2 linked regions of the Tamandua tetradactyla genome follow. The protein of the gene in region 2 binds, or shares a complex with, the protein of the main gene of each other region. Links are inferred from orthologs where the notes say so. Each region holds a gene or a part of one and is shown on either strand. Other genes may lie near its edges.

The links. The genes of interacting proteins can lie anywhere in the genome.
Region 1: the proteins of PEX14 (region 2) and PEX19 are in contact, whole or in part, in an NMR structure (PDB 2W85), measured with the Homo sapiens proteins. The link is inferred for Tamandua tetradactyla from reciprocal best matches to the Homo sapiens genes PEX14 and PEX19. Residues at the interface, in NP_004556.1 of Homo sapiens: Leu28, Thr31, Ala32, Lys34, Phe35, Asn38, Ser39, Arg40, Val41, Ser44, Thr48, Phe52, Lys56, Leu58; in NP_002848.1 of Homo sapiens: Gln67, Phe70, Phe71, Leu74, Phe75, Ser77.

The regions. Positions count from the first base shown.
Region 1 is NC_135330.1:13,332,792-13,340,481, forward strand, and holds the start of PEX19 (peroxisomal biogenesis factor 19), read right to left. Parts: upstream 3,002-7,690; 5' UTR 2,940-3,001; coding exon 2,870-2,939; intron 2,099-2,869; exon of another isoform or gene 2,074-2,098; coding exon of another isoform or gene 2,040-2,073; intron 1,417-2,039; coding exon 1,307-1,416; intron 874-1,306; coding exon 708-873; intron 274-707; coding exon 188-273; intron 1-187. UniProt on the Homo sapiens protein: Necessary for early peroxisomal biogenesis. Acts both as a cytosolic chaperone and as an import receptor for peroxisomal membrane proteins (PMPs).
Region 2 is NC_135328.1:214,913,648-214,920,808, forward strand, and holds the start of PEX14 (peroxisomal membrane protein PEX14), read right to left. Parts: upstream 3,014-7,161; 5' UTR 2,989-3,013; coding exon 2,953-2,988; intron 2,881-2,952; exon of another isoform or gene 2,614-2,880; coding exon of another isoform or gene 2,608-2,613; intron 1-2,607. Other genes in the region: DFFA (DNA fragmentation factor subunit alpha), read left to right, coding at 4,623-4,758, 6,564-6,725. UniProt on the Homo sapiens protein: Component of the PEX13-PEX14 docking complex, a translocon channel that specifically mediates the import of peroxisomal cargo proteins bound to PEX5 receptor.

The sequences.
Region 1 (7,690 bases), on a different chromosome or scaffold from region 2:
CTGCTTTCTTGGTATATGTCACCACTCCCTCATTTGGGAAAGTTGAAGCCCAGATAAGAACTATTTTACACTTGCCTGTAGCAAAACAGTAAGGGAGCGAAGGACTTGGAATGATGCCCAAGAGCTTTTGTCTTTTGAGATTCTGTTGGTGATGGTGTCTTGTAGTTTCCCGCCCCTATCCCCTTACCTGAAGGTCAGTAGCATTTTTGGCTAGTCCACTTAGTGTCTCCTTTAGACAAGAAGTGAATTCTTGTTGGGAGGTCACGTCACTGCCTGGGAGCAATAAAAAAACCAGGGTCATTTAGGATTGTAACTGTCTACTTGGTTAGACTGACCTGGTTACAAGCTCGGATCTGGAACAAATACTACTGAATCACTACCACACTAAATCTACTACTCTATGGTATCTTAGTCATTGTCATGAATCTGCACAGACTGTGTATCTGTTTATTCTGCATGATGACACCCAGAATAACATTGTGATCTTAAAAATGATCAGTTTTGAATAATCATTTCTATTACTTTCCAACCTATCTCATCCCTTTCACTAAGGAGGGTTCCCACTCCTCCCTCCATCTCCTCACCTGACCCCAAGGCAGTGGCATCATGACTACTGTCAACCTTACTAAGAATTCTGGTGTTCTCAAGCAGATATGACTTAAATGGCTTGCTTATGTATTTCCTGCTGTTTGGAGACCCCTTCTCACCCACTTTCCCAGCAGCTTCTGAGAGCTTTTGGAACTGTTCCACCAGGTGGGGCTCTTCCTCAGCCAACTCCTTCATTGCCTTCTCAAACTCTGCAGTGGCTTGGGAAGCCAGCTCACTGTCAAACAGTTCCTGGAAAAACTTCTCTTGGGAGGCAAAGAGGGCATCCTGCAAGGGAGGGGTGGTCAAAATGCATCTTCTACTTGGCATTTCACTGTACCTGGGCCCTAGCAGAAGCCACAGAGAATGGCTCTAAGGAAATGCAGTGCTTCCCTCCTACTCACCTCCATTGGAGATTCTAACTGCCTCTCCTGATGAGGACAGAAAGAAAGGCATCCAACCACTGAGGGAAGAATATAGGGTGGCACCCCAAGCCAGCTATTTAAACCTTCTCTTTTCTCAAGGAACTTCCTTTAGATTCCTCCACTCAATCTCAAGTCCTTGTTTCACGAGGACAGACATTTGCAAAAGCACTCAGCAATGTGAGGCCAAGGCACCATGCCCCACTCCCCTCTGGCCCACAGGGGCCTGCCCTGCCCCACCTCTGCTCAGAGCTGCAAGAACATTCCCTCCCCTTCCCTTAAGTGGGTGGAATATATACTTTGGCAGTGTCTCCTGGCGATCTCTTCTGGGGCCCCGAAGCATCAGGGGCCATGGTGGTAGGAGGGGGTGCTGGGGAGGGTTTGGCCTTATCGAAATCATCAAGAGCACCTTCAGAGACAAGAGACATGGGGAGTGTGTTGAGGACAGGTAAGGATGCAAGGCTGGGTGCTTTTGGGACAAAGCATTAAGAGAATGATCTTACAAACTGCCAACTTTCCTAATTTTTTTTTCTTTTTTAAGTCTTCCCTTCCCACCTACACCACAGTAAGCTTCCCACTTCCCTCCCCATTACCTAATTTACTACAGTCAAAGGGAAAGAAATCATTTATGGTAGAATAGGCAAATATGTCTCAGAGCTGGAAGAAGGTTAAAGGAAGTGCTGCAAATAGCAAAGTACACCTCCATCTCTACTGTGCCTTCCTCAACACATTCTATTAATGATTCCCTAGAAATTCTATACAAATATCCAACAGGAGTAGGGAACATAGATATCCATAGCTCCCTGAACTCACTTTGGAGACGTAAAGGGAATAATCTTAGGCAAGAAAACAGAAACCATGATGTTTAGTTTAATTCATGGGAGGCTTAATTAGCTTCCTATCAGACCTGGTACTATTGCAAACTGCGGGACTACATTATGCATTCCCTGGGAGGGCTTTAAATCTTCTCTTGTTGTCCAATTTAATTATCCCTCTGGTCTCATCTCTGCAAATAATCACGTGCCAATTCACCTTCAATTGACACTCCTCCACTGTTTCTGTTCATCTTTCTGACCCCTCTCCCCCCCCACCCCGCTCCCACAATCACTATGACTGAGCTAGAGACGCAAAATTCACCTCCGCCCTGTAAAGCGTGTGATGTCACCACCACTCTGCTTGCCAGGCCTGGGGGGAGGGCACTGACCCCACTCTGGGCAAGAAACCAACAGAGTTGTGAAGAATAGGGAAAAGAAGAAAAGAACATCGTCTTTTATGAGAGTGAATTGGCTTCCCCTGAGGTCGTCTCTCAGTTTCTTAAACAAATGGGGCAGAAATCCACTAGAGTTAATGACAGGATCAAAGAACTGGAAAGGGGTGAGAGAAGGGTGAAAATAACGGGAGGAGGAACGAAGTGTCTTTTGTGTGGACAGGCCAGGGGCACTGAAAGACAATCTAGGGCTTTTGAAGATTTAATGTGAACAATCTATAAGTATCTGCTTCGCTGTCCACGGAGGACAAAATGCTGCTGCTGGCGGAAAGGAAGTCAAACTTAAAGAATGTATTGATCTAAAGCAAGGAGAGCTTGGAGAGATATCGTCCTATGGGTTACAGTTTTCCCATCTCTGGGATATCTTCCCAGAGAGATCAACGGTCTGGGCCGCTCAGGGACCCAAGGTGAACTCCGCAGCTCCCGCCGCTGAGTAGGGAGAGGGTGATCCAGAGATTTCACTCTGGTTCGCCCGCCCCCGTCCAACCTTTGGAGAGCCTCTCCCACTCTGCCCCACATATATCAGGTTCACTTAATCCCCTGAATGGGTCCTCACACCCGCCTCCTTTGGGCCTTTCCAGTTATTGACTCTTACTTTCCAAAAGCTCTTCTAATTCTTGGTCCGCTTCAGCCGTAACCTCACAGTTGTCTTCAGCGGCCGCCATCTTATTACCTACGACTCGCCGTAGGAGGCGGGACTCCTCAGCGCCGCCACGTGCCCGGCCTCTCGCCCCGCCCCCTCCTGCTTTGTACAACCAATGGTATTGTTAGCGAGTAGGCGCCGCCATTTTTAAAGGGACAGGAACTTTAATTTGCTTTTTTTTTTTTTTTTCTGTCAGAACCGGTTCAACTAATATGAGGGGAATTAATTATCTTCTACCTGGTTTCTTCCGCGCCTGGCCTCCTTTCTTTCAGCTTCCCATATTACCCAGAGAAGAAGCCGTTTCATTATTTCTACTCAAGCTGTGGTGGGACCAAATTATTACAAGCTGCTTACAAATAAACAGATGCTACGCATATATAACCAAGAAGACATTTATGGTCCGTAGAAATCCATTATTTTTCTCGCACTTCCTTTGGTATTTTACTCAAATGTCATCTTCGCTGAGACGCTTTCTTTGGCCTCATAAATAAAACTGCACTCCCCGCCCCCCCACATACACACAAGCATATATACTTCCTACTTACTCTTTTTTTTTTGCCTTAATACTATCTGATATGCTATGCATTTTATTATTTACCTTGTTTGTTGCCATCTCCCTCCCCCACCCTGCCCCGGTAGAATTTAAGCATCTAGAAGGCAAGGAATTTTGCCTGTTGTCTCCACTGCTGTATCCCCAGCTTGTAGACTAGAGCCCGGTACTTAGTAGGCACTAATTGGCGACTCTTTGCTCCCCAGACGCTTATCAGGCATGTTTCTCTGCCGAATTTAATGGATAGCTATCTCATTTCCTATTCTCCAAAAGGATTGATCTGACTAAAGGACACAGGACTAGGAATTTAATAACTCACTGTTAGCTGAATCAACTCAGGCAGAAAAAACGACTGTGGGGCCTTCCAATTGAACAAGAGAGCAATCAATGTAGTTAGCAATAGACCTGACCTAGTCTTTGGACGTTCCTATTTTTTCCTCATACAGAATCCAACTCCCAATCTAATTTTGAGAGTGAGGTGGGATAGGCTCAGATAGGGAGAACTCTGGGTATTCCTTCCCTCCTCTGGAATATGTCTCCCATTCAGATATGCCAGAATGCAACATATCTATTGTAGTACTTAGAGATATCTGCTATTGTTTAAGATCTTGTGCTGGGTACAATGGAGGATGTAGAGATAAATCAGGACCAGCCCCTGCCCTAATGTAGCTGCTTGGGAATTGGGCTAAAAGTAGGACTAGACAGACATACACACTTACTATGACACAAACTTGAAGTATTTGAAAAGAGTTAAGGATAAAAAAAGTAAAAGAAGGGAGAAATCACATCTAGGTGGGAAAAAATGTGTAAGTCACTTCATCCTTTTGGTCCTCAGCTTCCTAAACAAACATCTGGGTTCTGTGTATCAAGCACCACGTTAGGTACTCATTCTTTCCTTCACAGATCTAACACAGGCTTCTAAAATTATACCTGTGCAAAATCTACTATGTTTTTTTTCAAGCACAAGTGGTGTAATTTAGGAGAAAACCGGAAGGAGTTGGGAGTCAGAAGACCCAAATCCTAGTTCCCAGCTTTGTCACTAAATCAACTTGTGTCTTTGTTCAAAACTCTCCACCACTGTAGACTTCAGATTACAAACATGTAACATTAAGAGTTGGGACTCTTAAAATCCTTTTCAATTCTAAACTTCTATAGTCAAATCTTTTCCTATGCAACCCTTTTTCTCCCCAACACCTGTCACGTAATTGATTCTAGGTTACCTTTCTCATTAAGGTCTGAATTGCTTACATAATTATTATTGATAACATTTTACATGTATAAAATTTGTCCATTTACAGGTTAGTATTTCTATTGGCCTTACATTAATGGGGAAATATAAGCATGTTAATAAGGAAAATACTAGATGGTAATTGAGAGAATTAAGAGAGAGGGAGTCAAACAGAAGCCTGAATTTTCCTTTTTGTATTTTTAAACTTGTTTCTGCTTTTTAAATTTTTTCTATTATCTCGGTATTTACTCACCTCGCTGTTCCCTTTCTATTGTACAGTGAACATTATTTCAAAACAGTACTTATAGCATTTTCTTTCTTTATCACTCTCTTAAGGACTTAGCAATGATTCTTCAGTGCTTCTCAAAATTTTGTCTAATTTCACAATTTCATATGTATGTCCTAAATTAGATAAGCTTGAAGAGGCAAGGACCGCCAACTTTTTTCATATCTCAGTTCACGCAACTGTTTATATTCACATTAATTTGTTGTTTTTGTTTTGTTTTGTTTTGCACGGGCAGGAACTGGGAATCGAACCCGGGTCTCTGGCATGGCAGGTGAGAATTCTGCCTGCTAAGCCACCATCGCACCGCCCTGTAATTTAATTTTTAAACTCACAAAAAAGTTATTATCACCAGCTTACCTATGTTTACAGAAAGAATGTAGCTTGAGAAAGTGTTATCAAAGTAGTATGCAAAATTTTGAGAAGGCGGGCTTTGGGGACACTGCTTAAGAAAGCAACTCAAGAGCAGTGTGATGGTGGCTTGGTGGCAGAATTCTTCCCTGCCATGCCAACGACCCGGATTCATTTACCGGTGCCTACCCATGTCAAAAAAAAGAAAAGAAAGAAAGAAACTCAAAATAAAGGTAAAAAATATAAATTTCAGTTCTAGGAGATTAAACATACTTGTCCCACCTATACAGTGCATGATCAAATTATTCATTGCAGCCTTGTTCATAATAGCAACATTGGAAATAAGTTAAAAGTCCATCAAAAAGGACTTTATTAATGTCTTTGATAAATAAAACTTACATAAATTATGGCATATCATACAATGGAAGACTATGCAGAGAAGTAAAAATAGAGTGAAGAAACTAATACACTGATATGGACAAGTCTAAAATATGCTAAGTGAGAAAACCAGATGCAGAATTGTTAAATAATATGCTTCCATTTGTGTATTAAAGGGTGATAGGGAAGAATATATTCATATATGCCTGTTTATACATTAAAAAGAATCTCTGGAAGGATTTAAGGGCATAATAATGGTTACCTTTTGGGGGAAAGTGATAACAACTGGATATTGAGGGAAAAGGCGGGAAGAAGACTTTTAACAGTTTAGCTTTTCACACTCACTGATTTTTGAATTCTGTGAATGTATTGTTTATTAAAGACATAAAAATTTAAAAAGGACATATTTTAATCAAAGGCACTTCACCCAATTAAGTCCTTTCACATGACAAGCAAAATACCAGTGTAATCAGGAACAGTGACAGGCAATGGAAAGTGTTTAATAAATACTGGCTGTAACTAGCAATAGATAGAAGAATGCAGTAAAAAATGGACTAGGGGAATACTTGCTTTCTACCATTCTCACAGCAATTTAGATCTATGTCTAACATTTATCAAGTGAAAAATATGTACTTTTTTTAGTGTTTATTACTTTTGAAATTAAAATTATTTAAGTTGAAATTAAAAATAATCATTGAGAAAAAAATATTCCCCAAGTTGAATTTTTGTTCTCACAAGCAGTGCGGACAGCCAAAGCTATAGGCTGAGTCCCTAGTCTTGGGGCTTGTTCATATGAAACTTAACCTCACAAAGGATAGGTCAAGCCTACTTAAAATTAGGCCTAAGAGTCACCCCCACGATAACCTCTTCTGTTGCTCTGATGTGGCCTCTCTCTCCAGCCAACACAACAAACAAATTCACCACCCTGCCCCTGTCTATGTGGGACATGACTCCCAGGGGTGTGGACCTTCCTGGCAACGTGGGACAGAAATCCTAGAATGACCTGAGACTCAGCATCAAGGGATTGAGAAAAACCCTAGAATGAGCTAAGACCCAGCATCAAGGGATTGAGAAAACCTTCTCGACCAAATGGGGGAAGAGTGAAAAGAGACAAAGTGTCAATAGCTGAGAGATTCCAGAGTTGAGAGGTTATCCTGGAGGTTATTCTTACGCATTAAGTAGATATCACCTTGTTATTCAAGATGTAGTAGAGAGGCTGGAGGGAACTGCCTGAAAATGTAGAGCTGTGTTCCAGTAGCCATGTTTCTTGAAGATGATTGTATAACGATATAGCTTTCACAAGGTGACTGTGTGATTCTGAAAACCTTGTGTCTGATGCTCCTTTTATCTACCTTGTCAACAGACGAGTAGAACATATGGAATAAAAATAAATAGTAGGGGGAACAAATGTTAAAATAAATTTAGTTTAAAATGCTAGTGATCAATGAAAGGGAGGGTAAGGGATACGGTATGTATAATTTTTTTTTTCTGTTTTCGTTTTATTTTTTTTTAAGAAATGGTCATGATGATGAATATGCAACTATGTGATGATATTATGAATTACTGATTATATACGTAGAACAGAATGATCAAAATAGGAATGTCTGCATTTATTTGGTGGGCTTTTTTTGATATTTAAAAAATAAAATAAAATTATTAAAAAAAAAAAGAAAGTGTCCAAGAAACAAACAGCAAGCCAAGAAGCTCTTGTAGAAATTTAGTTTATTTACCATGAGAAACAAAATAAGAGAACTATGGTTGCAGGACACAAATCAACCTAAAGTGGTATGCATTTCTGGAAAGCCAAATGGTACCCTCCCAGTCCTTAAATTTCTGGGTACTCAGAAATTTGAGAGTTTCACTGCCCAAGGAAAATAGAGGATGACTAAGAGTTTGGTAGGACGGAGTTAAAAATGGTATCTTACTACATTCCTTTTCTTTCTAGACAAATGACACAAAGGTGGTAGGGAAGAGAGGGATAAA
Region 2 (7,161 bases):
AAACTATTGCTTTTTTCATTTCTTTGCTTAGTATATATGTTATACTATACAACAAAAAAGTTTAAAAAAAAGGCTAGGACCCCATTCTAGAGTAAAGGAGACTAAAGAGACAAAGCAACACAATCCTGTTTTTTGATGAGATCATGATGATTTTAACTGAGAAAATGAATGAATGTAAATGGTAAACTTGATACTAGTGAATCTACTAAATTTCCTGTGCAATAATGGTATGTGGGGGTAAGTAAGAAAATAAGATATAAGGTAAAGTAATCTGGGATAAAATAATATGATGTCTGGTACTCAGTTATCAAATACTTCAAAAGAAAAAGCTATTAAAGAGATTGATATCAAGCAAACCTGGCAAAATGTGAACAAACAGTGTTTCATGATGAAGGTTTCATGAAAGTTTTATAGGAGTTTTCTCCACTCTTCTTTCAACTTTCCTGTAAGTTTCTGTAGGGGGAAATATCTTGTTTGAACTATTACTATTTCAAGAGGTCAAAAGAATTTCAAAGCAACATGTATTCGGTTCCCGGACCATACACCTAAAAAAGAGCCTATATGTAGAAACCTGAGGAAGAAAACTGACATTTACTGAGCACTTATTATGTCCCAGGTACTCTTCATATCTGTGGTTTGTCAACCCCCATAGCAACCCTCTACAGTAACTGTTATTACTCCCATTTTATAGAGGAGAAAATCGATGCTCAGAAAGTAATTACAAGTTCCACAGCTAGTGAGTGTTAGAGTTCAAACCAAAGTCTGTTTGAATGCAAGGCCAGTGCTTGTGCTCTCCTCCTTATCCGCGTCTGTTTTCTCAATCCAAAACTTACTATATCCAGTGAATCGAAAAAGATTTGAAATCTATATGTTCAGTAGATTCGATCACATTGATTGCAGATTCAAGCATATTCTCTGCTCTTCTCTGAAGATGTTCACCCTTAATCTTTTGAAACCAGAGACTGATGCCACAAGGCTAACTATCAAATTTTCTATAAGAGAAAGAATACTCACTCCCCCAGTCCTATAGGCCTAACCTTGTGTATATACAAACCAGGTTTGGTTGCTGAATTACCAAATAGTTCTTTCAATCATACTCTAGCAGAAAAACGGTACACCAGATAGATTAGGACTTAAAACGAAATGACAAGCAACTAAAGAGAGTTGATTCACTTAAACGTGCGCATTTGAACCTTATTGTTAGACATCGATAGAATTCAGCCTGGAGAGTTCAGGTTTTTCCACAGGCTGCCTACATATTCTGAGGTAATCCCATCTCCACCAGCTTTAGAAAGGACCGTAAAGGGAACCAGAGCTGAAAACCAAACAAGTGCTGGCCAAGCCCCCTTAAAGGTATTTAGATCCTTTTTCACATGGACAGAGAGGTCAAGTTCCAAAACCAAAGAAAGCCCTGGGAACTGCAATGGCTCCAAGTGGCAAGATATTTAGTGACTTTCATAGCACTGGTAAATGGTATGTCCTAGAAGAATCAGTGACTAAGTCACCTCGAATCCCCATTTGTGGATGTTCCTAACACATAACAGTTCAAAGAAGTCCAGATCTTGAGGAGCCTCAATAATTCAGCTGAGTGGAATAAGGCAAGAAAGGAAGGCTCCTCCTCTATAGACACTTCCCAAACTCCAGAACTCTGACAGTTAACAAGGCCAGAGTCAGCCCTATTTTTTATGCTTTACATCCCAGACATCATCTTCCTGAATAATACACACTGTTAGCAGAGGCTGGTCTGGGCACACAACAACTCCTTTAAGTGCAGTTCCTGTACAGACTCACAGTGAATAAGAAAATATGAAACACTAAATGCTGGTCTTCTACCTAGGAAGGAAAAGATATATCAGTAAATTATCGAAACCACCTGAAGGTGTTTCAAGAGACTAGAGAAGAGAGATAAATGATGAGGTGTCAGGTTAAAAAACAGTTTTTCCTTCCTCTATCTAATTCTAACTAGATGGAAGCATATATGGCTGACTAGCGGAGCCACATTTACCTAGGTTTAAATCCTGGCTCAATCAAGAGCATAACAGATTTTCGGCATGTTACAGAACCTTAGTATCCATTTCTATAAAATGGGGGTTAATAGCCTGAGCTCATAAACATAAACTGTGCTCAACTTGATAGCACACACTCGTAAACTTACCTCACCCCACCCTACCCCACCTTCGGGCTAAAAGTCTCTTCAGAGACCTTTATCAACCACCTCTCCCTGACAGCAGACTTAGGGGCGTGAACACTGGTCCTCATGATCCCTCTACTGGCGTGAGATTTGGCTGAAATTTGTGGGTGAAAGGCTAGAGTGGAACCTTTGGCCGAGAAAGCCAAACCCAGGAAAGCAAAGACCGATTCTCTGCCAAAGGCTGGGCGGCGTCTGTTGTTACTGTGCGTCCTTTTCGCCCCCACCCCCCACCCCACCGCCGAGAGTGTGAGTATAATCCCGACCCTCCAATTTGGGGGCGAGAGCGCAAAGGTGACTAAAGACGAGGAAGCTGGCAGCTGGACAACCCCAGGACACTGAGGTTGTGGGGGAGTTGGACCCCGGAGGGGGCCGGCCCATCCCCCAAGGAGGCAGCCAGGAACGAAGAAGCTTCTCACCTCCATCAAGCAAATGCCCTCGGAGCCTTGGGCTGGGGGTTTCCTAAGGGTCCAACCACTGTCCCCGCCAAACTCAAGTGGGATCGGAGGAGCTGGCAGTGGCAAATGGTGACCCACGGATGCAGCCGAGCCCTAGAACCCGGGCTCCGAAATGTGGTCAAAGAGGGGTCACTGAGGGAGGGGGTCGGGCGGGGACCCGGAGAGGGGCGGGGCCCATGGAAGAACAGAGATCGAGGACCGCGGCTTCGGAAACTCGGGGTCCCCACCTAGCTCCTGGACGAGCGCCGAGCGCCCCCTCCAGCCGCGGTCCCCGCGGCCACGACTGGGCAATCCTGCTCCCCTTACCTGGCTCGGCTGCTCTGCCTGCTCCGAGGACGCCATCTTTCTGAGGCTTGACTAATCTATCGCCGCTGAGCGAGGCATCTCCCAAGCGCCCTTGCTCTCGCTCTCCCGTCCAGACTAAAGTAGCAGGAATTGAACCGGTCGATTGGGGTAGAGGGCCCGAAACGGAGGGAGGAGGAGGGGGACCGGAGTGCCCGAGTCAGCTAGCACAATCTCCGATAAGTCTCTACTTTAGAGAATTTCCGAAGTCTATCCTCTTTGAATTGTTATGTGTCTGTCATTCTTGTTGAATTAAGTATCTACCCATCCCCAGAGTACCTTGGGCATATTTATTGACTTGCTAAGTATATAGTAAATGAATTGCAAATTAATTTTTGGCCATTCAGTCCAGTACCATTTATTGAGCGCCTACTATTTGCTAGGCACTTTGTTAGACGCTAGAAATAAAGAGCCAATCCCTGCTTCCAAAAGTCCAGGCAAAACACCCCAACCCACCATCCATCCACCCATGATTAAATAGATCATTGTGAGGACAGGACACCCATAACTATGTGAGGGGTCTTTTGGGGGAACAAGAGAAGAGTATTTGAGTTAAGTTTTAAACTAAATATGTGATTATATGAAAAGGGATGCATACATTAGAACCATCAGCCAACTCATATTGTATTGTGTTTTGATCAACTGAGGAATACTCATTAACAAGCCCTCCTACCAAAGACCGTTTTAAATACACACACTTTTCTTATGACATAACTGATTTCTCAGCCAAATTTTTATAAGCAAAATATGCAAGAGACTGACCCTGAATGAATATGGGCCAACAATTAGTTCTTTTTACATAAAACACTCCTTTTTAAAGCGGAGACGCTTTTTAGTAAAATTTTTCTTTAATTCTTCAAATCTTGAATGTTAGTTTTTCCGTAAGTAGTAGTATTAGAACAAGGATTGTCAAACAACATCTCTTAGAATCTCAAACAGAACTTTGGTTCACATTTCCCCTTTCCTCTGATTGCTTTGTTGCTATAATGTTTAAATCTATTTATTTAACCATCTTGTGCTGAGGGCCCAACCCAACTTGCACAAGCTGAAGCGGGGAACCAAATGGATGGAAATGTGCAAGTATTTTATGCTACTTCGTTACGTGTGACTGAAAACTACACCTATTAATATTTAACATTGACTTCCTTCAAATCAAGGAAGTTGGAAGGTTGGATCCTACAGATCTTTTCAGATTGAAAAGGTAAAACCAATCAACTTTGTCTTGTTTGCATATTAATATTACGCACTATATATACAAATAGAAGTGCTCTAAATATTCGAGGAGTATACATGCGTGTATTTCACTATGCGAAATAAATTCCTATTGGCCTCATCTGTTTAACGTGCAATTGTAACTCCTAAATATAAGGCTGAAACAAAATACTGCCTAGGTGAATGGCACGACGTTAAGGAAACTGAGATTTTTTTAGATTGAGAGACTGCAACTCCCGACGTGCCCCGAGGTCGGCACATGATTAGGGACGACAGGGGACTACATCTCCCGGCGTGCCTTGGTCCCACGCGTGGTTTGCGGCAGAAAGAACCACATCTCCCGGCATGCCGCGGGCGAGGGGGTCCCGCCTCGCCGAGCTTACCCCACTTCCAGGAGTCAGACAAGTCCCGCCTAGAAGAGGATGGAGGTGACTGGGGTCTCTGGGGCCTCCGAGCACGGCGAAGCCCGGGCTCTGAAGCCCTGTCTGCTGCGTAGTAACCACAGCCGCGAACAGTACGGCGTGGCGGCCTCCTGCCTCGAGGAGCTGAGGAACAAGGGTTGGCACGGAACTGGGTCGGGGGTCTGGGGGACACGGGAACGGGTGAGGAAGTTGGGCGGGGGACGGGGAGATGATCCCCAGGACGTGGAGTTCTGATGGAGCCGTGGGGAGCCGCACAGAAATGACTTACGTGGATATAATGCTTTGTAGATTTCAAAGCATTGATAGTAGTTTACAGACCCTGTAACCGAATCCCTCCTGTGTGAGAGTCATAATGATGGAAAAGTAGGCCCGTAGCAAGATGTTATTAAGACCAACTCGGCTTCGATGTCTTGCCTAAAATTTTTCATATTAAATCTAGCCCAGGGTATTCGTGCCACTCCGGCTCACTGAAGTGGTCCTAGGACCTCTAGCCGAGCCGGAGATGAAGGTCCACCATCAGCTGTGGCAGGTACCTGGGCGCAGATACAGAGCTGCTTCCAACTGATCTGGCGGTCCGGAAAAAGGGACGGTGTTATGGATGCCTGAGCTCACAGAAGTTCTGAGTCGTGAGCCCTGACCTCATACTCTTCCTAGCCGCTTGACCTTGCACTTAACACTTCTGCGCCTGATTTTTCTCATCTGAAAACAGGATATAATATTTCCATCCTTGACTCACAGAATTGTTGGAACTCTCAAATGAGATGCTACATTCAAATGATTGACGTGTTATTAGCACGTAGCAACAAATTGTTTATCCAAACGAGTTAAATGTGCCAGCCAGCCCCAGGCCTGTAGTTAAGAGTGCGGGCAAGCTGTGCTCCCTCTCAGGGTCACTTAAACCCCAAAAGATTACCATATAGAAGTCTCTCAGACTTCCAGAAGCAGCCAAGTAGTATAAATGCTTTGGTGACATGGATTTTTGCCTTACGTTTCTTCTGGGTATTAGGTTACTTAAGTCTTATTGCCACTTCATTGCATCAGCTGGATGTACCTGGCTGGCCCAGAGGCTTGGGCAGGTGCTTGTGTTCTGGAGGGCTTGGCCTGTACAAGTCTTGCTTTTCTGCTTGGATGATAGACAACATGTACTAACAATATTTGTAGTGTCTGGACTACTTCTGCTTATTCCAGTCCCATTCACATAGTTAGCTTTGCTGTCACTAAATGGCATGCTACGACACTGCTCTTGCCCAGGGATAATAAAGATGAAAAGCTACTAATGCAACCTCTCCTTCTCTTATCCTTTCCTGGAGGGTAGAAAGGCCTCAAAAGAAAGATGCTATAAAGAACAAAAAGCATTTTTCTTCCTTTTCTTTTTTTGACTTTTGATACAGGAGAATTTAAGATGACCACTGAATAAATGAATGAAAGATTTCTTCTTCACAAAGAATCAAGCCAGACTTTGGTATAGTTTGTCATTCATTGAAGTAAAGGCTTGAGTGTCTCCTGTGTGTGGTGTAGTAGAGTAGCTTTAGGAAACACATTTTTAAGAACCATAGTGGGTTTAAATCCCAGCTCTGCCACTTACTGTGTTACCTTGACCAGGTACCTCACTTGTCCTTGGTTTTGTCAAATGTAAAATGCGAATGATACTAATAGTACCTACCTTGTAGGGTTGTTGTGAGGATTAAATACTATATATGAAAAGCAATTAGAACAGTGCCAGTTTCACGGTAAAGCTATAGTGATTGGTGCTAATAGTTGCAGTTGTTATTGTAGTTATTACTACTATTACATGCCAGGAATTCTGCTAGATCCTGGAGGCATACATGTTGATAAGGCAAGGACAGATGTAATTTCCATATGAATGTGAATTTGTTCTTTGGATCTTGAGTTCTGTCAAAGATAGAATTCATCAGTTGCCAAATATTTTATCCCTCTCAGCCTGTGACATTCTGGCTATTGATACGTCCCTGGCACCAGTTACCCTGGTCCTGGCAGAGGATGGCACCATAGTGGATGATGATGATTACTTCCTGTGTCTACCTTCCAATACTAAGTTTGTGGCACTGGCTGGTGATGAGAAGTGGGCATACAATAATTCAGGTAAGAAACACTGGCTATATGTAAAATGACCTATGCAGTCCCACATTCATCATGATTAATTTTACTACACAGTCAACTGATTGCTGTTTGTCTGGCTTTTAAGCATTTATTAAGCAACGTTAACTGACAGCCTTCTATGTGCCGGACGCAGTGTTAGATCCTGGGGATGAAGATGAACGAGACATGAACCTGTTTTCAAATAACTCACAGACACACAGCAACTAAAAAGCACCATGGCAGAGAGATGAGTCTTGTGGGCCAAAGTTGGGCTGCCCGAATCTGAATCCTGGCTCTGCTGTTTATTAGCCATGTGACGTTGGGCAAATTGCATGACCTCTCAGTGCCTCATTGAGACAATAAATATAGGACCAATCTCCTCGGGTTGTTGTAAGACTGATATAACACAATATACATACAACTTCAATATTCCTCAACT